3 linked regions of the Xenopus tropicalis genome follow. The protein of the gene in region 1 purifies or fractionates together with the protein of each later gene. This does not show direct contact. Links are inferred from orthologs where the notes say so. Each region holds a gene or a part of one and is shown in the gene's direction. Other genes may lie near its edges.

Evidence for each region.
Region 2: the proteins of psmg2 (region 1) and psmb9 purify together in Homo sapiens (affinity purification with mass spectrometry; 3 studies listed by BioGRID and IntAct, counting the BioPlex papers as one, with this or other methods). This does not show direct contact. The link is inferred for Xenopus tropicalis from reciprocal best matches to the Homo sapiens genes PSMG2 and PSMB9.
Region 3: the proteins of psmg2 (region 1) and psmg4 purify together in Homo sapiens (affinity purification with mass spectrometry; 3 studies listed by BioGRID and IntAct, counting the BioPlex papers as one, with this or other methods). This does not show direct contact. The link is inferred for Xenopus tropicalis from reciprocal best matches to the Homo sapiens genes PSMG2 and PSMG4.

What each region holds. Positions count from the first base shown.
Region 1 is NC_030682.2:103,527,444-103,536,712, reverse strand, and holds the start of psmg2 (proteasome assembly chaperone 2), read left to right. Parts: upstream 1-4,637; 5' UTR 4,638-4,688; coding exon 4,689-4,736; intron 4,737-6,948; coding exon 6,949-7,120; intron 7,121-7,398; coding exon 7,399-7,457; intron 7,458-7,561; coding exon 7,562-7,680; intron 7,681-9,179; coding exon 9,180-9,269. Other genes in the region: cep76 (centrosomal protein of 76 kDa), read right to left, coding at 470-551, 641-796. UniProt on the Homo sapiens protein: Chaperone protein which promotes assembly of the 20S proteasome as part of a heterodimer with PSMG1.
Region 2 is NC_030684.2:73,271,850-73,279,382, reverse strand, and holds the end of psmb9 (proteasome subunit beta type-9), read left to right. Parts: intron 1-2,731; coding exon 2,732-2,873; intron 2,874-4,632; coding exon 4,633-4,760; 3' UTR 4,761-4,830; downstream 4,831-7,533. UniProt on the Homo sapiens protein: The proteasome is a multicatalytic proteinase complex which is characterized by its ability to cleave peptides with Arg, Phe, Tyr, Leu, and Glu adjacent to the leaving group at neutral or slightly basic pH.
Region 3 is NC_030682.2:87,665,050-87,672,114, reverse strand, and holds psmg4 (proteasome assembly chaperone 4), read left to right. Parts: upstream 1-2; 5' UTR 3-63; coding exon 64-228; intron 229-1,984; coding exon 1,985-2,060; intron 2,061-3,940; coding exon 3,941-4,062; 3' UTR 4,063-4,362; downstream 4,363-7,065. UniProt on the Homo sapiens protein: Chaperone protein which promotes assembly of the 20S proteasome.

The sequences.
Region 1 (9,269 bases):
CCTTTAATGCTCTAGCCCCAATATGCAATAAAAGTCTGCCCAGGAGCAGTAACCCATAGCAACAAATAACGTGTTGGCTTTTAAACAGGTGACCAGTAAATGCTACCTGCTGATTGGTTGCTATGGGTTACTGCTCCTGGGCAAACTTAGAAACTTTTATTACATAACCCCATAAAAGTTTCTGTTTATTAGACAACTTGGCTGATATTAAACAACTGCCATGTATTGAATGGTCAGATATTGACTGATTTGACTAATTGCATAGACCACTGTACCTTGTTGCAAGCTTTGGTCAGCAAATTAGTTAAATAAACAAATCAGAAAAAAATGACAGGAAGCTGCTGCCCCACTCTTCTGGATCTACAGCTACCACATGAGTCAAGCCGGGGTATTTTCAGAGACACCGAGAACTGCAATATGCAGCCTGTACCTGTACAAAACCTGTATACTATAAATACGACTAGCTTACTTTTTTTTAGTGTTCTTGGTTCTTTGTCAATAAAATGTGTGGCTGGCTTTGGTGTAGATGTTAATTCCCTGGTATCCCTGTCCTAAATTAAATAAAACAAATATTACATTAGGAAGTGCATTTCATGAATCTAATAAAAGCACACATTTTTTAACACCCTCCCTAACTCACCTCCATAAAATGAAGTTCCTTCATGACTTCATCAACAATACCTCGCTGCCTTAAGGCTTTCATCAGATCTTCCTCCGATAACTGCTGGCTTTCTGTCCTAAATTCTTCTCTTAACGATTCTGCCAAGACTTCTCGTATTTTGCCGTGCACATCCATCTACAACCACCAAAATGATCAATGATCTTAATTATGTTGTATGCTGTATCGGCACTGTTTTTTTTATTTCCCATTACACTAAAGTTTTATCAAGATATTCACCAGCTTTTAGGATACATATATTTGTATTTTTTTTAAAGGCAAAATATGATACATGCTGGCCTATACTGTTTAAGACTCAGAATTAATGTTTAATATGTTCTTCAATCACAACATATGTAAATAACCAGTAGATGTAGTAAAACTAATGTTTTCAGTTTCAGCAATATAGTGTGTCAGATCCTTTCAAACTAGTCCTTACACATACTTTCACATACAGAGAGACAGAGAGCTGTGATACCAAAACCAAAAAAAAAAAAAAAAAAAAACATTGTCACTGGCTGGAGCATGCTCTCTGCATTGCCGTGTATATTTGTATATACATAGTGTAACCCTGAACTGTCTAATAATTTTAATTCTCTGCTGTGTACTTAGCTTTGCTGGTGATCAAGAGATCTTCTAAGAACAACAAGATACTTCTAGTCAAGTACAGAATTTGTCACTTCTAAGATGGCCAAAAATTAGCATGTATCCTTAAGAAGAACCCCAATTTTATGTCCACTAATTTTGTTTTCCTGGAATTTAAACCATTTTTATTTTTTGGAAAATAAAAAATCTGGGTTGTACTGTATATGCAACACTCATTGGGGGGCACATTTCAAGAAGACTTGTGCAACCTTGATGGTCATTTTAGCACTAAATGTGGCTTTTAAAGGGAAAATATACCTTCTTTTTTGTAATGGTCCACTTCAGTTGTGATTATGTAGAAAAGATGCATAAACATTTTCTAAAATTCCATAAATATAAAATGTATTTTTTTTCACATAGAAATACCAGATTCCACAGACTGAAATGCAAACACTGTGACAGGGACCACAGGTTCACAGTCTACTGAAACTACTCACTCACCATGTTCCATTGTGATGCAATAGATTATGGGACTTGATGTTCCCCTGCTTTCCATAGTGGGTGATGCACAGTTCTATGGAAAGCAGAAAGACTTCAAGTCCCAGACTCCATAAATCACAATGGAACAAGGTGAGGAAAGGGTTGCATTACACCGTCACCACAAAGGAGGTTGGTTTGCAATTGGTCACCGTTTTAACAGACAATCATAGTTTCCTGTGAAATTATGTATGTCTGTGTAAAGGTGGCCACACACATGGCGATCTGCGATCTTTTGTGCGAAAGATCGTCAGACCCGCCACTAACCTTCAGGGCTGAAACGGCAGATAAGGAGGTAGAAACAATAGGATTTCTACCTCCTTCTGCCGATTCAGCCCTGACGGCAGATTTTGCTCAGGCGCCTTCTATGGTGCCCGTAAAAAAGAAAATAGAAGTTTAGATAACAAGTCTCTAAAGGCCGCTCAATGACATGTTCCTTAGCTTTTCTTTGCAGTGAAAATCAAAACCAAATAGGTTTTATTTAATGTGGCTAAGCACAAAAGAAACAGCTAGTTTAGTAGCACCATTAGAATAAAGGAGTAAAAGTTGGGTCTTATCCAAGTTGCCACTGTGTCATAATGGCCTTTAGGCTAGAGGGACATGGCCATTCCTTATACAACTTTCAATTTGGATCTCAATGTAAGAGGGGGAAGAAGACTGCGCTCCTACAAAATTAAACACATGAGTGACCGTGATGGGGCTCAAAAGGCCTGACCTGTTTGGGGCTACAAACCCTTAATTATAGGCTTCCAACTCGGATTGCTTTTGCAGGCAAAGCGTTAAAAGGGTACTCTGGACTTATCACTTAAAACGTTAGTGGCTGGTGTAAATTAGAGGGTTGCCTTTAATCTAAGTAGCAATCATAGCCACAACAGGTGTACATACTGTCAATAAACCATCGGTGCAAAGCTCAATATGCTTGGCTTCTGAGTTTCCACAAAAAGTAAGTAAAGCCTGTAGCATGAGTAACAGTGAAGAGAAGACATTGGCAGACTAGCAGTGTAAATACACCACTGAAACAAAGCAGCAATCTTTATAGGAGTTTGTCTTACTGACTGGGGGCAAAGGACTGCAATAGTACAACTATGTATAACTGCCTCTCATATTAAAAAAGAAAAATGTGATCCCCTACAGGAATCACAGCTTTATACAAATGTCAACCATTCCATAACTACAACTCCCTTAATATTCTGACAACTTCGCTGACCTCCGCGTCTATTAGAACCTGGTATGGTTTCTTACACGGGTCAGCTGTTCGTGGATGATTTGTTTGAGTTCGGTGGCTTTCTCCGGAGGCAGTGCCATGCTGGCTGTGTGAGGACTAAACTACAGAATGATGTATTCACCAAGGGGAGACACCGTCCCACATACAGTCCGTACGTCCGCGTGTCACATTCCTTTCTTTCTCTACTTCCAAGCTCTTCAGGCACAAGGGAACAGACTCTGCCTCAGGTTCTGCTCTACCCGCTCCTTTCCATCTGTATCACGATACGCTACGTACTCACTCTCATACCTCCCTCAAGCAGTCACCCAATAACAACCTAATTACTGTTGCCATCTATTTCCCCGCCCTCAAGGTGGCGGGATACACCGCGGGAAGCCTTCTTTAGCGCTGTCTTTGTTATCAGGCATCGGAGCAGTCAGCCAAAGTACAAAAGCGAAGGCCCCACCGAGGTCCGGCACTAGTGACGCGCAAATTGCGCGCCCGGGTTGAATGTAAAAGTGAAAGATACAGTGCGCCGTCATGTTCGTACCCATAGGCTCTGAGCAGGATTTCCCGAGTGATTATACGCTGCTGCTGGTATGTATGGCTATCGCACTGGCAGGCTAAACGTCTTGGGCACACTCATAGTAACATAAGGGGCTATAACCACTTCTAGTGACAGCTGTGGGAAGGCTCACTCCTGACTGGTCCAGTATCATTTGTCTTTCTCTAAATGTAAAGCTATAAGAATAAGAGAATGTAGTTTGGTTTTTAATATGTGTGTTTATGCTGCAATACTTTAGGGTATGATGATATACTACTACACAGCTCAGGGTGACTGTATCATTTGTAGAAAGAAGTGTTTGCAGGAATCTATGACCTGCAAACAGCATTTGTTCTAGGGATAGAATTGCTACCTAGCAACAACTAATGGGGGTTTTTCAGCAGCCTCCCAAAAATAAGCTGGAAACATTTATTTTGCCACTACAGCCACGTTTCTGCTGTCCCCTTGTGACGTGCTTGTGCCTTTAATATGTGGGAGCAAGCACAGGTCTGCTCAGTGCTGATTGGACAGCATAGAGCAGGGAGGAGAGTAGCTGAAATTAGATTTATTACTGGAAGTCTGCTGGATAATAGTCTTAAAAATAAGGGAATGTCATTGAAAGGAGCAGAGATTTAAAAAGATGAAGATGCAGTTCAAGTTGTAATTGTCTTATATATGGACTAAGAATAAAAGGAGTAATAAACGAGGCTATAGTACCTTGAGCATTAGAAGAAAGTTATCTGTCCTGCAAACTCACTCAGGAAGATAATTGATTACTCGGTTTTCTTAAGCCACTGACATCTGCGTCACACTCCTGGGAATCATTGTCTGTAGAGACAGACCTCCTACAGGGTGCAGGGTTCCCACTAGAGCAGCCCAAACGGGCCTCTTTACTGGGAGTGGAACCATGAGACACGTTTAGTTTAACTTCAAATGGAGAAGAGATACCTCCTTGTTTAATCTTAGGAGTATCCATGTGGGACTGAACCCTGACTGAACCCTTCCTGGGGCAGTCAAATGAGGAGGAAAGAAAGCAGTGTCTAACGTCACTCTTTTTTTTCAGAACAAATAAAAAATGTCTCTCCTCATGTTTAAAATATAAAGGAGATTACACACTCCATTTTGTGTGGTATTTGGAAGGAAACTAAGGTGGAAACATCATGGAGTCTGTAGCAGATAAAGAAACTGCATCCTCCATAAACGCTGAGGTAAAAATCTAATTTTCCCATTCAGCTACTCCCCTTCCTGCTCTGTACTGTTTAAACAGCACTTAACAGACCTGTGCTTGCTCCCACATATTAAAGGTACAAGCACGTCACAAGGGGAAAGCAGAAACGTGGCTGTAGTGGTAAAATACATTTTTCCAGTGTATGTTCAAGAGGCTGCCCCAAACCCCATTAGCTGATGCTAGGTGGCAATCTCCCGTAGAACAAATTAAAGTGTTACATTTTAACCTGCCTTAAGACACTAGGGCTTATTTACCTACATAAGTGCTAAATTACAAAAGTACACTTGGCCATGGCTATCAAACAGCTTTGATAAGTCTATTACCATTCTGAAACGAAAGCAAATATCTGATCGGATGCTAAAGGCAACTATCCTGTTGCAATTTAGGACACATCTATGGAATTTAGCCTCCCCTGTGTTAGGTCTGATGCACAAAGATGACTTCTTACAGGGAAACTAAAGCAAAGCTCACTTAAAACTTAATTACTTAGTCATAACATATCTGCATTGTTTAGCATACTCATGCCATGCACTGAAACATTTTTACTGGTCAGAAGTATGCAGAACTAGATTTTTAGTAATGTAGATAAGAATGTTATAGAAATTTATAACAGGGATTGTTGGTTTACAGCTACACATTCCTTATATGTCAGTGGAAAAAAAAAGCTGTCCTTTGTCCTATCACAATAGGCTGTGTTTGTGGGGAGTTTTGCATTTGCACTAGAGAGTGAGGGTCTTAAGGTGGCCATACATGGTGTAGGGACCCCAAAGAATTGGGCCCCTCCAGGATTAGTTCCCCTTTAGACAGGCACCATGAGGGTGGCCTTATGAGATTTGGACACCTAAAGGTGGTCCTGGGTGTTTATGTGTGAAAAGGGAGTTTCCCTGCAAGTTAACAGCCACCACTAGATGTCGCTGTGCTAAAAGTATAAAAGTGAATGACTCCCAGTTTCAGCAGGTCTTCGTCCTGGGACTGCTTCTTGTAAAGAAGCGTATAACAGGCTTGTGTTCTAGTACAGGAGGTACTGTAACAGGTCACTCTAGGCGTGACAGGCAGGCTAGAGAGAACGGGCAGTGATAGCCCTGACAGGAGAGAGAGGGGTTAAGACCCCCCAGCACTCATGGCTGGAGTTCAGGTCCTGTAGTGTGTAGTAAGAGGAGCCAAGTCAGCACCTGGGAGTGTTCCCAGTGAAGGGGCCCTACGCGTGGACCGTGGACGCGTGAGTTCCTAGGTGGAAGCATCCGGCGGGAGTACCGGGGGTAGCCCAAAGAGAGAGTGTGTGACTTGAGCCGTCTGTGTGACATCCTCTGAAGTGTTCTGCCTGCATCAATAAACAAGTTCATCTGGTTCACCATTTTAACCAGTGTCTTGGTGGTTCATATACTGAGGATCCTCAACTGCCTGGTAAGCAGCTACCCCAAGGGAGGGGCAATGTACCGGGAGTTGCTGGGAGTCCGGGTCCAAGGAGGACCTCATAGAGTTTTCCCAGGGAGGATACATATAGTTCTACCTATACCTACCCTGGGTGGAGGCACGCCATTCATTTATATTACACCTGTCCCCCATAATAAGCGGGGGCTCAGGGCTCCTGTAGCGCCACACGCAGGTGATTGCGTGTTAAAAGTACAACCGTAGCCAAAATAGGGTTACAATGGTAAGATCCGCTCGCTTGGCCCTGGGACCAAACAATCAAATTAGAACGGTATAGGTGCTGTCAGTTCAGGGACCGCATTACCGAGCCTATGCGGTCCCTTATCCAATGGAAAAATTAAGCCTGCCTGATTGAGACCTGCCCGATATCAGGGCAGATGACGGTTGGGCAGGCCCGTCCTTTATGTCCATACATGGTATTTTAGCATTGCTCAAAATTTTATGCAAAATCCAAAAAGTATGGATTTGTACATCCCTACTTTAGAACTACTGAAAAGTTTGAATTAATGTGTGTTTGAAAATTGGTTTGCAAAGCATTTATTTATGCAAATTCTTTTTTTTTCGTGGATGTCCTTTAATTAGTATAGATTAGTAAAAGCAAATGCCTGAGCAGTTTCACTTACAGTGATGAAGTTACACTTCCATGCAAGACACAGGGCAATTTAATAAATATATGTTGTGCAGTAATATTTCTACTAAGTCTTTTTGATAATGATTTCTTAAACATAACTATTGTTTTTTTTCTGTTCCCTTTGTTTTAGCCAGCCATATCAGTTGGAAATGTTGGGCAATTAGCCATTGATTTGATTATTTCAACTTTGAAAATACCAAAAGTGGGGTATTTTTACACAGATTGCCTTGTACCTATGGTTGGAAGCAATCCATATGAAACTGACGAAGAGAATGCAAAGGAACTCTGCACAAACGCTGAAGGTATTTAAAATAATTTCAGTGGAAGAAGTAGGTATTTAATTTAATGTTAGTTATTTGTAGTGGGAGTAGTAGGTACTTGCCTGTGTGGATGGTGTTTGGCTAAAGAAGATTTTTAGTTGCAGAGATTAGACAGAAATTTCTATATTTTGTACCCCAGCCACAGTAGTCTTGGTCATTTGACTATAGCTGAAGAATGGTTGAAGCTGTAGTTCAGCATAAACATGAGACACACAGCAAAGAAGCTTTTCTAACTTGCTCTTATGTTTTTTTTTTTTTAGTGTATGCATTGCCATCCCAGAAACTTGCAGTTCTCCAGCTAAGATCACTTGTTATAAAGGTAAGAATGTTATTAGAAAACTGTTAAATGCAGACTGATTGTACACCGTGAAGTTATACCCTATGGAAAGGCATGTTATAACTAAATCTTTTTTGTATTTAAAGAAAAAATCCAAATCCTTTCGGCAAGCCCTGGTTTCCTGGATTAAAAGATGTGCTTTTGCCAGAGTGATTCTTCTCTCAAGTTGCCATGCTTATCACAGAGATGATACACAGCTTTTTGGGTATGTTATCAGTGTTGTCACCCAGAGTAATTGCAATTGCTTACATGATACCCAAGGCCAATGTACTATCCTGGGGTATTTCTGTAGGAGCTTCTACAGAAATACCCTGGGCTGGTGCAGTTTTTAGCAAGCACTGGCCTTAAATGTTGGCACCCTCCCAATGAATATACTTTTACTTCTTCTTTAAAGCCCTTGTTAGCTTTTTAATTTGCTGGATAATTAATTTTTACCATTGACTTAAAGTATCTTCTGTTTCTGATATCTTTTAAGAAAAATAAAAATCTGGCTGCACTTTTGCTCCCTTTTCACTGAAGAGTTTGGAACAGTATACTATATTATACTGAACTTTTTTAGTCTTTGTAAACATGGCCCTATACTACTAGCCAGGCCCTTTGGGTATTGGGCCCTGCCAAATAAGAAGAATTGGGTCCTGTGTTTAAGAAAAAAAACCAAACAAAATTGCACATATAAAGAAGTCTTACTATGCTCGTAATCTGCACCCAACACCCAAACCCACACAATATGGCTGCCTTTTTTATAACATAATACATTAGGGAAGTGCTGAGAAAATATTGATTCACTTACATTAAAAAAAACCAAGCAATAGCATTTTTATATATTCTGAATCAGTGCTCTGGTTCTGACTTATTCAGATGCAGGCCATGTTTCTAAATGCATTAAAGGAGAAGGAAAGGCTAGTAAAGAGAAAAATATGGATTGGATACGATAATTTCTGAAGATCGCAAATATCACGAAAATGCTTACGAAAAAATCGTATTAGTCACGATAATATCGTATTGGCGATCCCAAAGTCAAGAAATTTTCATACCAAACAATTGTAAACAGTGGCAGAAGCTTTCCGAATTTTTCGCGCTAGTGCGAAAAAAATCGGCGAAAATACGCTCGGAGTGTTCGAATGAACGTTCGTTTCTTAATAAATCTCCCCCTTAGGAGTCAGCTTCCTGCTGTTTGGCTCAGATCCACATTCCTAAGGGGGGGGGGGAGTGAGTTCTTGAAGGAGGGGGGAGCAGGAGAGAGCAGAAAGCTGCGTGTCTGTGGCACAGGAATTAGACACAAGAAATATGTTTTCAGAGAAGTCAGTGCAGCGTTTGAGTGCTTATGGCTGTATTTACATAGACCTTTCTGATAAAGCTTACTTAGTTTTTACCTTTCTTTCTCCTTTATTTACAGAATGTAGATCGTGTAACAGAATTTATGAGTAGAAGTATTATTTAATAAATTATGCTGTAGGAGTAGTAACTTATATTTTAGAGCTAATATTTTTATATAAAGGCTAACAGCCCACAAGCGTTTTGGCTGCCATTACAACAGAAGCATTCAATACTTTTGTCAGCCTGTGTGCATCCAATACAGTGCTTTTCTTTCACAAAGAATGATGACTGGAGCGATTTAACTAGAGCTGAGCTCTACCAGATGGCAGTGGCGATATTGTTCCCTGTATGCCATAGCCCTTATGGTATGTAACTTGTCTTTTGCAGAACACCATTCCGTTACTTGGTCACTCCAGCTTTACAGAAATCTGTGGCAGATGTGCTAAAAGAACTGGAATGGAAGGAAATGGAAAAGGT
Region 2 (7,533 bases), on another chromosome or scaffold:
ACTGGGTGAAACTGAAAACAATGAGGGGGTTAAGTTCCCCTTGAACTGGGTGAAACTGAAAACAATGAGAGGATTAAGTTCCCCTTGCACTGGGTGAAACAGAAAAAAATGAGGGGATTAAGTTCCCCTTGAACTGGGTGAAACTGAAAACAATGAGGGGTATTAATTTGTCCTTGAAGGACAGGCTGTCAATGACTATTCTATTCCTCTACTATTCTAAGCCTCCATTGGACTCAATGGTACTCAACAGATCAAACCTGTCGAATTTTCATTTTACAAAAAAAAGTTAACTAAACATTAATAAATCACAAATTATGGGAGTTATTTTCAGAAAACTAATTTTTCTGGGAAAAATAACAAAAAACTTTTATTACATACATTGCGCACTTTTGCAAAAAATAAGGGGCACATTTACTAAAATTCCTTTTTTTCTGGCCTTGAACGTGATATAAACTCGACATGGTATAAATATTGCTGTATAATAAAATGTCATAATAATGCTTGAATCGTTTGAACAAAAATTTCAAGTTTACATTTGAAAGTCCCAAATTTTTCTAGTTTTGTTAATACTCGAAAAATTTGAGTTTAAACAGACATTCGTTTCCATGAATCCTCTTTTTTTTCCCAAACAGGAATTGCTCTAGCAGCCATTTTAGAAACACTGGCACTCCTTGAAAACAATAATGTGTTAAAGTTTTACTTTAAACTGGGTGAAACTGAAAACAATGAGGGGGTTAAGTTCCCCTTGAACTGGGTGAAACTGAAAACAATGAGAGGATTAAGTTCCCCTTGCACTGGGTGAAACAGAAAAAAATGAGGGGATTAAGTTCCCCTTGAACTGGGTGAAACTGAAAACAATGAGGGGTATTAATTTGTCCTTGAAGGACAGGCTGTCAATGACTATTCTATTCCTCTACTATTCTAAGCCTCCATTGGACTCAATGGTACTCAACAGATCAAACCTGTCGAATTTTCATTTTACAAAAAAAAGTTAACTAAACATTAATAAATCACAAATTATGGGAGTTATTTTCAGAAAACTAATTTTTCTGGGAAAAATAACAAAAAAATCGAGTTCTGGTGAAAACCCACTTGAAAATTTTGAAATTACTTAGAAGTAAGAAAAAATCCGACTTTATCGTGCCGACTTGGCAATTTGGCTTTAGGTGGCATGATGACTTAGGCATATGGCACATGTTTGGATTCTCGTGCAAATGCTTTCTTACTGGCAATAATATAAATGCAGCAGCAGGCCCAGGGTTTGTGAGCCACCAAAGCAAAGACCCGCACCTCCTGCTCCTCTCCTCTCACTCGCATGCATGTGTGCACACTGTCTCATGCATCCCCCGAGCCTGCAAGCACTCGAATGCTGAATCCCAGTTTTGCATGGGGGGCCTTTAGACTGGTTAAACCCCAGGACTTCAAACTGGCCAAAGGAGTAAATGCCCAGAACTTATCATCACCACTACTATTGTGCCCTAGGCCAGGGCCGTCATCAGAAACTTTGGGGCCCCTCACAAGTTTATATATGCGCTAATTAACACAAGCCTTCCATTGACTAATGTGCTAATAAGTCATTCAGTTTATTGGGGGTCAGTAGAGTTTGCCCTTAGTTTAACCCCTTACCACCTATGTGCCCCTGCTCTGTGCTGTCATTGCTTGATATGGAAGTTATGTAATTTTTTTGCACAAGTTACATAAACTGCATAAGTTTAGGGGCCCTAAGTCAGTATTTTAATTGGGGGTTCAGTTGAGTTTACACGTAAGTTTCTTTGAAAGTAACGTAAGTTTTTGCAAGCTGGTAAATTGCGTAAGCGTCGGGGCCCAGTGATGTTCATGTAGGGGCCAATAACCAGTCATTTCCTTGCTGGAAAGTTCATGTAGAAGACGCTAATATAATTCAGTAAATAGAACCCAATATAAACAGCTGATGTTTCACTGTAATAAGCACTTCATATAAATAGTTAAAATTAATAATTAATATGCTAATAAGTCAGTCAGTTCACTGGGGGCAGTGTAATTTACCTTAAGTTTTTTAATTCTTCAGGAGTCAGTGGAGTTTGTCCCTGAAAAGCTTCTCTGTGTTGTCTTTTACTTGATACGCAAGTTACTTAAGTTTCTAGGCAAGTTACATCGTTTACTAAGGCGTTTTTGCTGAAGATATGTTAATTAAGTACGTTAAGGTGTAACTCTATGCATAACGTCGCAATTTTTTTAACTTTCGTGACACGACCAGGCCCCTTAACAAAAGATTTTTTACAGGGCCCGGCAAAATTGTGTGGCCCTGTCTAAGGCACCTGCCTCTCCTGTCTACTTCTAGTTCCAGCCCTGTGTAAAAGCTACTTTGGGAAACTCAAGTGACACCTATGTTTTCCTAAAGTTATCAGATCACATGAAAAACTAGGAGAAAATCCAACTAGAAGGGTTGCACTGATTGCAATTTAATTTAAATGCAACCAGTGCATTTTTTTAGAAGAGTTCCTGAACTTTCAGGTGAGTTGGTAAGAGTAACCTGTACCTGTAAGTACACTTCAGAAGAAAATTACGAGTGCAGTGAGCTACTAATAGAACTAACTTATTTCAAATTACACAACAATTTAATCCCTATACCTTTATATAGTATTTTCTCATTTTCACCCCTTAAAAATTCATCTGAAAAACATGTACAGTTAATACTAGCAGTTAAAGAAAAGCAGCCCTGTCTGTAAGATCAGTCTGTCTCTCTGTTCAGGTTTATGGAACTCTTGGAGGAATGATAACACGACAGCCTTTCGCAATAGGTGGGTCCGGCAGTACATATATTTATGGTTTTGTGGACTCTACATTTAAGCCTGGGATGTCTAGAGAAGAATGTGAAACATTTGCAGTTCAAGGTGAGATAAAAACACAAAAAAGGTTCTGCTTTGCCATTTCTTCACCCACTGTGCAGGAAATAGAAATCTAGACATGTTGCTTTGTTAGCAATAGTGGAATAGGGCAGAGATGGTTTATTCTGTCTGAATTTGTTTGATCATTTAATACATTGCACAAAGAACAGTAACATAGCAACCAATTAGGCATTTGCCTTTATTATTCTGCCTGTAGTATACAAAACAAAGCTAATAATTTGTTCATTCAGCACAAATACTGTGGAGTCTTCAGTTGATATTAGGTATTCCTGATTGCAGCTGCCCTTCACTAGGCCTTATCTCCTATCTCTGAAGGAAATCTCAAAATTGATAATATGGTACAGTACCATTATTTAATTAGAAACATGCTGTGCCATGTTAATGTTCTAAAAAACGTGTTTGAAATGTGCTTGAAATGTGCTGGGGACACTTCAGAAAAGTTAGACCAAGGATGACAGGTCAGTCAACCAATGGTAAAATTGCCTACTCACCAAAACTTTAAAGCGATACTGACACGCAATATACTTTTTTTAGTTCATTATTATTTTTAAACCTGCCATGGTGTTTTTATTGTTTTAAGATACTAAACTGTTTCAAATTTAAAAATTTCAAAAAACTAAACAAAATTTCAAACAAGTAGTTGCATTACCATAAGGAACGCATCAACCAAAGCTCAACAGGGCAGCCATTTTTTCTCTTCTCTTCAGTGCTACGTTTTACATGCCTTCATTAAAAAAAACCTAGAGGAATCATCCAATCTGGCGACCTGTGCTGCCCTTTCTCCCTTCATGTGCTCCTTAGTTCATCTCACATGAAGGCTTAGCTCAAGTCCCTGCTCTGTGTGCCTGCCTGCTCTTTGAAGCAGGCAGGCAACGGAAATATCTGTGTCTGCTATCTGATTGTGCGAGGAGGAGGGGGGGGGAGAGTACCTTGAAGCAAGCAACCGAGAGGACCTTGAAGCAGGCAACAGAGAGGAGCTTCCTTATACTGCCGATGTGAGGGTCACGTGTTTATTTATGCCGGCTCAAAGTATGGGAAAGTGAAAAGGGAGGGTTTGTGACGTCTGCTAGCTCCTCTTTTGACAGGCAGCTTGAGAAGCTACAGTCAGGTTGCCAGACAGTAGGGTCCAGGATCTCCTATAGGATTTATTTAGAGAACCAGAACTTTCAGAAAAAAATAGTCAACATGACCTATAGGTAGGTTTGAATGTAGATTAACATGTTGATAAGATTTTTTTTGGTGTCAGTATCACTTTAAGGCTAATGCCAGACGTGGGGTTATGCGCCTCCTACCTGTGCCTGCACCCGAATGAAGGAAATACGCTTGGGTGCAGGCACATGTAGTTAATATCCGCCGAAGATATGAAGTCTTGTGGTTTTTGGCGGGTATCCCAAAACCCGAGTGTATTTTATTCATTCGGGTGCAGGCACAGGTATGAGGCATATGGCATTACTTTCAGCAAACGATTTTTGGCTTGCCGAAAATATATGCCAAACACCACGCCTGGCATTAGCCAGACCGTGCTTCTTCAGAAGGAAGAATTTATGGATTCAGCATAAATTTGGTTGATCTGTACTTACCTTTAAAGTTTTGGTGAGTAAGGATTTTATCATTGGGTGTTGCACTTGGCACTTTATCCCAATGAATTAAAGAGGGAATGCATGGGAAGAGAGAATAAATCATTGTTTCAGATCAGTGCAAACATATTTGTTGATATGGTGTGTGTTTTATATTTTGATTTTAGCTCTATCCCTGGCAATGGAGAGAGATGGCTCAAGTGGAGGAGTTATATATTTAGTAACTGTGACCAAGGAAGGAACTAAGAACAGAATCATATCTGGTGACAACATCCCTCGCTTTTATAATCTGTAACATAGTGTGCAGGAACTGATTACTCAACTACTACTAATTCAATAAATTTGTGCTCTCTATCAAAAATCCATCCCTTGTGCATAGTGATATTTAACTTCCTCTTTTAACTGTTATCACATTACATGATACAAATATAAAAACAATATTTGTACACTGAACACTTACTTCCTATAATAATTGGTATAGAGTGCAAAAGTTACCATGTTAAGCCTTAGTACACTTTTCTGCAACAATATCATGTAACCCTAGACCATTCTAACACAATGTCCATATTTCTGCTAAACTTTGTTCCATATGACCCAACATCATATCTTTCATATACGTAGTTAAGATATACATGAGGTTGAAGTTGCAAAATAGTGCAAAAGTACACTACATAATTATTCTTATACCCAACATGCCAAAACAGTTTATTCCATTGCAGCTTCATCTTGGTGCAGGCAGGAAACATTGTGCATTGTGCATTTTATTACCAAAATAGTATTATTTACCCCAACCGGAGTTGTTGGAAAGCTTTTGCTCTGGGTATACACTCAACTTGATTTTAATTTTCATTAATTTTTTCATATATTTATTGTCACTGTTGCACTTGTAACACAATTACAGTGGTTGCTGGGGCAACCACTTGCACCGCAAAGATTTCTCATGTGCTCTTTTACTGCTGTAGCTACATATGTGTCTGGTTCCAGGGGTCAATTCATGGTAAGTACTTGTGGTTTTAAGACGCTGTACACACTGAAGCTCCTATTCACTAATGAAGTGGAGGCGGAGCCCCACAAAATACACTGGAATCATTGGTGTAACTAGATGAAACAGACCCTGTGGTGCTTTCTCCATTGTTGCATATAAATCTAGCACAGATTCCCCAAGAGTGACAACAATTTTTTTCTGTAAATAAAGGAAACCCTGCACTATAGTAAATTTTGGGTGCTCACTGTGTAGTAAGTAAATTGAAATATAATTAGTAAAGACAACACATTTGAGTGGCACACCTACTTAAAAACACCTTTATAACCATTAATTTAAAATCATAATAATGAAATCATAGGTAGGAAACTTAAAAAAACACACAATCCCTGTACCTGTTAATTCTCTAATTAGCTAGTTAATTCTCTAATTAGCTAGTAATTAATTAGTAGGCATTAATAAACACATTGTTTCCAAACCTTGGCCACAGAAATAGTTGGTGCTTTTCTTGCAGTGGGTTAGACTATATGTATAAATGCATTCTGTTCACTTATAACTGTTTCTCAGTTCTAATTGTATTAGTTGCTCGCAACATTTGTAACTTACCCGTATATACTCGAGTATAAGCCGATCCAAATATAAGCCGAGGTACCTAATTTTACCTAAGAAAACTGGAAAAACCTATTGACTCGAGTATAAGCCTAGGATGGGAAATGCAGCAGCTACCGCTTAGTTTCAATAATCAAAATAAATTCCAATAAAATTAGGATCTATCAATCTTACTGAACAAATTCCTGCAGGGAATGAGTATGCGAGATGCCAGGCTCCCCCTACTGCCTCCTCTAGCAGGGTCACATGGAGAAGGAATCACTCATTAATACCTGTGTTGCTAATGGACCACCCCTCCATTCAGCTTGCGGTTTCCTTCAAGGAGCTCCCCCTCCCTCCCTCACTCACTCGCTCCTGCATTGTGAACTTTCCGTTGCCTGCCTGCCTGCTTCAAAGAGCTCTCCCCACTCGCCACACAAAGTAATAAATCGCAGGCCAGTTTGAACTTTCCCGTGCCTGCCTGCTTCTAAGGGCTCTCCCTCCCCATTAGACACTGGAGCTAAAGCAGGGAGTGTGTGACATCACGCCGGGGGCGGAAGGAGTCAGGAAGGAGCGGCGCGTAGAAATGCGCACAGGGAATCAGGTAGCAGAGGGACTCGAGTATAAGCCAAGGGTTAATTTTTCAGCACATTTTGAACCTCATTTTCCAGTTTGCTGCCCAGTTTTCCAATTTTGTCAAGTCGCTCTGCAAAGTGGCAGCATCCTGCATGGAACTTATAGTTTTGCACAATTTAGTGTCATCAGCAAAAATAGAATTAGTACTTTCTATGCTCACTTAAAAAGCAAAGGACCAAGGACTGACCTCTGCAGTACTCCAGGCCAATATTCCTCAATTTTATCATTAATCTTCTGTGAGGTACTGTATCAAACGCTTTAGCAAAGTCCAAACAGATGACATCAACTGATATTCCAGCATTGAGGTTTCTGCTCACCTCCTCGTAAAAGGCGACTAAAATCTGTTACGCATAAAACCATGCTGGCACAAACTTATAGTATTGTGAACTGCAATGTATTCAAGTACCCTATCTCTTATTACCCCTACTACTGATGTCAGACTAACAGGTCTATAGTTTTCAGGCTGAAAATGGGATCCCCTTTTAAATAACGGCATCACATTAGCAATTCGCCAGTCTCTCAGCACCATGCCAGACCTCAATGAATCCAATGAATGAAGTGAAGAGGCTTGGCAATCACAGCGCTAAGCTTGTTTAATACCCTGGGATGAATACCAACTTGTCCTGGACCTTTGTTTACCTTTACATGTTAAAGTCTCTTTTGAATTTCCTCCCGAGTGACCCACGCATCAGTAGCTAAATTACTAGAACTGGGCATATTAAAAGGGAAGCCTTCATTATCTGGCTCCTCAGATGTATACACAGATGAAAAATAAGAGTTCAAAATTTCTGCTTTTTCCCTGTTCTCATCAACCAACTTACCCCCCCGTGATAATAAGGTTCTCACTCCTTCTTGCTTCATT
Region 3 (7,065 bases), about 16 Mb from region 1:
TTATGACGTTTCCCAGCGCGCCATTGGAGGTTGTAACGCAGCAACCGGGAGTCGGGATTTTCAATGATGGAGTTATCTCCCCGGGCCATTACCGTGCATAACTTCTCTGAGAGGATCTGCGAACAGCTCGTGCATTTCCATGTAATGGGCATGGAGGATTGCTTCTTCCTGTGGGTCGGGAACTCGCCTGTCTTAGCCAATTTGTCTGTGGCTATGTGCAGTAGATTTGTGAGTTGGTTTCTATCAGGAAGTTAAAGAATGTCGTCTCCGATCTGTGCATATTGGTCCTACTATGGTTGAGTTTGTTCAAGCTATTGATACATTAATATTATATTATATACCTTATCCTTCAGAATGATGAAGTATTAGCTCCGTTTCCTCTAATGATGAACTGCGCTGTCACCCAAATCATCTATATTCCTTAGGATATGTATTTCATTATGTAAAGGGATTCTGCCATTATTTTTAAGGAATAGTTTTTATGACTATATTACACTGTTCACATTGTAAATAATTTATTCTACCATTTTATTGGGGTGTAGGCAGCCATCTCAGTGTATTGTGCCTTTCAGAAGGAGCCAGCGCTACACATTCAAACTGATTTCAGATAAGCTATTGTTTTTTCTGCTCTGTGTAATTAAATAACAAATGACTGCTGAGATGGAGTTGGATTTTTAGTATTGAGTGCTATTCTCACAATGGGAGCCCTTTTAGCAATACAGGTGTCAGGGAGCTGCTATCTTGCTACCTTCCCATTGTTCTGCTGATCAGTTGCTGGGAGGGGGTGATATCTCTCCAACTTGCAGCTCAGCAGTAAAGTGAGACTGAAGTTCATCAGAGCACAGGTCACATGACTGAGGACACCTGGGAATTGAAGAATATGGCTAGCCCAGTGGTTCTCAACCTACCTAATGCTGCAACCCTTTAATACAGTTCTTCATGTTGTGGTGACCCCCAACCATAAAATTATTCCTAAGACCATCGGAAATATGTGTTTTCTGATGGTCTCAGGCGACCCCTGTGAAAGGGTTGTTCGACCCCCAAAGGGGTCCCGACCCACAGGTTGAGAACTGCTGGGCTAGCCCAATGTGAAATGTCAAAGTTAAATTTTAAAAAAATCTGTTTGCTCTTTTGAAAAACTGATTTCAATACAGGATTCTGTTGGAGAAGTGTTATTAACTGATGCGTTTTGTAAAAAAAACATGTTTTCAGTGACAGAATCCCTTTAAAGTGTTTTAAAGGTGTGTATATCAGGAGTATTTTTGCTTTAAAAAGGTCAACTTTCCTCAGCAGCATTCTGGCTGTCTGACAACTTTCAGGTCAGAATGCAACCTTAAAGGCTATATGTGGTGTTTTTATGCCTCTAATTACAGAGTTGCAATGTGGCATTAAAAAAATGCCTGTGGAAAAAATTCTAGAATTTTATAGAGAAGTCAGTGCATGTACAACATGCTGCTTGGGACAAACTGTTACAGCCGTGGCGATTAATCATGCAATTGATTTTCAAAAATCATGGCAACTAATCGCTCCATATGTCTTCACCCTTACCAGCCTAACTGGCTCTGATAAACTTCAGTCTCTGTTTACTGCTACGCTGCAAGTTGGAGTGATATCAACCCCCTACCCCCGAGCAACAGAATAATGGGTCGGTAACAAGATTACAGCTTCCTGACCCCACTGACAAAGGATTCAGCTGCCTGAACTGATAGTATCTCCCAGGACTAATAGCACTGCAAGTGAATTTTAGTGAGTGGTAAACAGGCAAAAAAAAAAATACAGTGATTGCAGCATATTTAATATTTCTTCTATTACTGATTTATTTTCTAGAAAGGAAAGCCATAACAGCAGTCTTTGTGGTATAGCGAAAGCTTACATTTGTTACTTATTTAGGGTTATGTATATGCATACTGTATAAATCTGATTATAACATCAAAAGCCTATTTTAGAAAAATAATTAGATACTTTTTTAATCATATTTTTTTAGGATTCAGTCCCTTTATCTACATTGGTTCTTGGGGATACCTCTGATATGACGTCAACTTCTTTTGCACAACGATTAGGTATGTATTAAAATTCCCATTGCATAAGTATTGGCATAGACAAGCATGTCTTTGTGTCTTGCTGAGATAAGAGGGTATGGGTTACGGCTGTCTTGATGTGTTGGCATACAGTCCAATATGGGGGCTGATAGTCAGGATATTAGAGTGTCTGCATAACTGTTCCCAGCATGATAGCATGCCTTTCTGTTGCTTCCCATTATTTGTCAAGCACTGCCCACCTCTCACCATAGGGATGTGAATTGGTCAGGTTGGTGTCACTTAGTTTGAGCTCCTTTGTCTAGATCTGGGTCCCAGCAGAATTACCCATAGTGCTGTTTGTTGCTCTTTCCCGATTGGATTTGAGATTTGCCAAACCCATGAGATGTCTCCTGCACATTCTTAGAAGTTTGTTAGTGTGACAGTGAATAGTTTACAGTTATTGCAATATTATCCAGAAGTCTGTTAGTTTTACTCCCAGTTTGGGATTGAGCATGCTATATCTTGTAAGTGATTAAATGGAGTATGTCCAGGGAATAGGGAAAATTATATTATACTTGCATGATTTTACTTTCCTGGATGTACTCCATATCCACAAATTCCCATTCCTTCTGCAAAGGTTGTCTTATACAGATACTCCTACTGAGGGATGACATGGAGTACAGGTATGGGATCTGGTTTCAAAAACCTGTTGTCCTGAAACTTCCAAATTAGGAAAACTCTCTCTAATAGACTCCGTTATAAGCCAAAAATTCAAATATTAAAAAATGATTTCCCTTTTCTCTGCAATAATAAAACAGTACCTTGTACTTGATCCTAACTAAGATAAAATTAATTCTTATTGGAGGCAAAACAATCCTGATGAGTTTAATGTTTAAATTATTTTTCAGCAAACTTAAGGTATTAGAAAACCCCTGGACCCAAGCAGGTCCCATAGCTGTATTGCCAAGAATTTTTCTTTTTTATATGCTCTTTTACCATTCACAAGCATCTTCGATTAATCACTGCAAAGCCCAGCACTTTTGACCCAGAGATAGGATTAATAGGTGGCCTATCCTTATTTCCCTAGTGTCTGATCTAGAGCCACTTGTCCATGATTTGTTACTAGGCAGCAATACGTTGGCCAGGAGAAAGAATCTGAGAGCAACATGTACTGTAGCAATGGGGACTTACCAGTCATTTGCCTGGGGCAGCAAAGAAGCCTAGGGTTGGTTTTGACAGGCATACACAGAAAAGACAGGCAGGTGGGAGTTGATTGACTTAAAAATAAATATTTTCTACGCATTTAAATATAATGTGGTGGTACCCTGCACTGGTGAAAAAAATGTGTATTTGCTTTTAGAAACACTAGTACCCTTTATATAAATGAGCTGTTCTGTAGCCATGGGGCAGCTAGTTAAGTAGGGCAAAAGGGGTCATGTAAACACAACAGATAAGCTCTGTAGAATAATGGATTTTAGTTCTTATACAGGAAGATAAACAGGGGTCATATGTAATTTATGGCTTTAATAAAGGTCATGGGATATTTCCTGTGATGCTGTTTGACACTACCAGCGCTGGGTATCAAGCAGAAAGCCTGACATGTAAAAGATATATCAGATACAAATATCCCTATTAGACACCAGGTAATATTGCATCTAGCATGGAAGGTGATCAGTACATAAATGCAAGTGTTCCATCCCAAATGTTGGAGGAATGAATTACAGAACATGCACTAATAATCTGCAGCATGGTGAAAGCAGCAGCAAATACATTCATGTTTATTTTCTCATGTCATCCCTATTAATTTAGCCCATTAGCTAAAGCTTTAGAAACTAATTAAGCACTTCATATTAAGAAGCCCATGTCATCCTTTTGGAGTGTTTAATGAAGCAAAGTTAAATGAAATTGTGTTTAACTTGCAGCAAAGAAGACTAAAAAGCAAGTGTTTGCCAGTGTGAACATCCCCAATAATGAAAGCCAGCTAATGCTACTGATTGAGAAACGCATCAGGCAGGAGATGGACACCTTTCCTGAGAAGTTCTGATGGTCTGATTTTAAAGGCACCTGATTTACTCCTTTACTTTGTGATGAAGTTAATACACGCAGAAATGTGCTGTTGGTTCCACGTGAATTCCATTACAGGAGACCTGAAGATCAGTCCCATGTATAGCTAAGAAGCAGTGCAGGGGAAGTACAGCATTCCCTCCAAAGGCATACTGTATGTACCAAAAGTGGGTCATGTGATTGCTCAGCTAAGTAGATCCATTGTTAACACACGAAGGTTAAACTGCCTTTTCAAATGTATTTCTAGAGAAACCTATTTTATTAAAAAAATGACTAGTAATTAATGAGTATTTCTTTCTTATTTAAAGGGGAATTATTGTGAAAAAATAATTTGTCATAAAAAAAAGGAACTTCCCAAATAAAATATACTAAAAATGAATTGCCCTTTCTAGAATACTCCATCTCTGCAATATGTTTCTCTATTTGCAGGGGATGGAGTAAGATTTTAATTGACATTAAGGTCAGATACATTGGTGTGTTCGCTCTGCCTTGATGATGTTTTAGAGCTATCTTTTTAAATAACCAACACTAAGCTGCATATAGAGAGACAGTTTGTAGAGACGGGGATAATGAGGAGTAGCTTCATTATTCCAGAAACGGTACAGAATTGGTTTGATTGGTTATTTTTATAAAGTTTTTTATTTCCCTGAGGTAAGTCCTAAATTAGCTTTCCTTTGCAATTGGCAGTCAACATTGGATCACATTGCTCATGACTTGTGGGTTTATGGGTTTCTGTACAAATGCGAGCACTCATTTATGCTTTAAGAACTTAATCAAAGCAAGAGAACAAAAGTTAAGAATGGCTCACCCAAAAAATTTGTTAGCACTTTTGCAGTGCACACCCTTTCTTCACTGCATATATATCTAACTATAAAACAAGGGACCGGTAAATACAGGTTATAAGTGTGATGGTACAGGTGAGCAATCATTTTTTTTTCCGGATTTTAAAACATTTATATTTTATAGTTCTGCAACTCTAAGGGGCTGATTTACTAAGACACGATTTCGAATCCGAATTGGAAAAATTCTGATTGGAAACGAACATTTTGCGACTTTTTCGTATTTTTTGCGATTTTTTCGGCGTCTTTACGTTTTTTGCGTAAAAACGCGAGTTTTTCGGCGTCTTTACGATTTTTGCGTAAAAACGCGAGTTTTTCGTAGCCATTACGAAAGTTGCGCAAACTCGCGTTTTTTTCGTAGCGTTAACACTTGCGCGCAAAGTCGCGCCTTTTTCGTAGCGTTAAAACTTAAAAGGCGCGACGTTACACGCAAGTTTTAACGCTACGAAAAAACTCGCGTTTTTACGCAAAAATCGTAAAGACGCCGAAAAACTCGCGTTTTTACGCAAAAATCGTAAAGACGCCGAAAAAATCGCAAAATTACCAATCATTACGAAAAAAACGCAATCGGACGCATTCGGCCCGTTCGTGGGTTAGTAAATGTGCCCCTAAGGCTTTGACTTTCAATTGCTGTCTGGTTGCTAGTGCTTACTTAACTGCAGTCTGCAGTTTGGGTGTCAGAAAGGAAAAGCAATAGGAGAGGGCTATAATAATAAAAAAATAAAAAGCAGCAACTAAAAATAAGAGAAACAATAAAATTAAATCCTAACAGATAATCTGTTTTTAGGTTGAAGGAGTAAGCAATCCCCTACAACCTGATCATTGCAGCCTGGAAATAAGCATCAAAGGAAACCTAAGGATTTAAAAACCACATAAAATGCCAATTGAAAAAGTCATTTGAACAGTCCATCTATAACATACTGATGAAGATGAACATCTTCCTTTAAAGTCTGAGCTGAATTACATATTATGAACACAAATCTGACTGTGACAAAAGTCACTTGGAGATGGTATGTGTGTGTGATACAAGAGACAGACCTCACCTAACTCTGCTTGCCTGCCATTAAAGGGGTAGCGGCCTACATCAGTTCCAGTGTAAGAAGCTGTGTAAAATGCTGTAATTGCAAATGCAGAATTTGCACAGCAATTTTTGAACAGGGCTTTGCAGTCGCCTAAAATCATTATGCAGCCGGATAAATACACTGGATTTTGCATGGCGATCCACAGCATTCAGCCAGTGAAGTCTGGTGTGTTTCACTCCCATTTATTTATTTATTTTTTTTAACATGGCTTAATATGTCTCAATGTGTTCAGTATTTAGCCTCTACTTACCTGACCCATTTATTGTAACACTAAAAGCTTGACACTAACTTACAAGTACCACAAGAAAAATACACCTTTTGACAGTTTCTATGTTTTTATTTCTGTACATATACAGTACAAAGTATTTTGCTCAGATACAACCAGATGACATGCACACATTTAGCTTCTAAGACATTTTCGGTACTTGATTTGAAGCTTGTGCTATGGATGAGCACCACCAGACTACTTCTTATGAGTAATTAAAAAAAAAACAGTAAAAACAATTTCCTATTTAAAATTTTGGCAGATAAAGCCATCAACTGTTGAAAAGGAAAAAAAAAATTAAAAATATTACCACTTTCCTTCCTTTGTTGATGTACAGGTAACATAAAAAAACAGACACAATATCCCTAGAGCAGTGTAGAGACTGCTTAGCCCATTGAAACACAAGACCAAGTAAGTACACCAAAGATCATTACCTTCCAGTTTATAGTGCACCATGAAAACACAGGTTCTTTAAATGCAATGTATATGAGTTTCCATCATGTACTCGGAAGCATAGGTAAGTGTATATGCTTCCAGAAACAGACCACCATCCTTGCAGTAGCATCTTTCTTCCCCAGTATACTATACATTGGAGGAGATGGCCAATCTTTTAAATTATGGAAATCAGATGAACAATGATACAAGCAGTAGTAGTTGTTTGGTAAAAATACAGTACAATGCCTACAAACCCATTGGTGATTGCTTGAGAATTACAGCACAGAGGATATTTACGGCTATTCATACGATAAACAGAAATCGGTGTGAATGGTGAGTTTTTTTTCCACAATGGATAACAC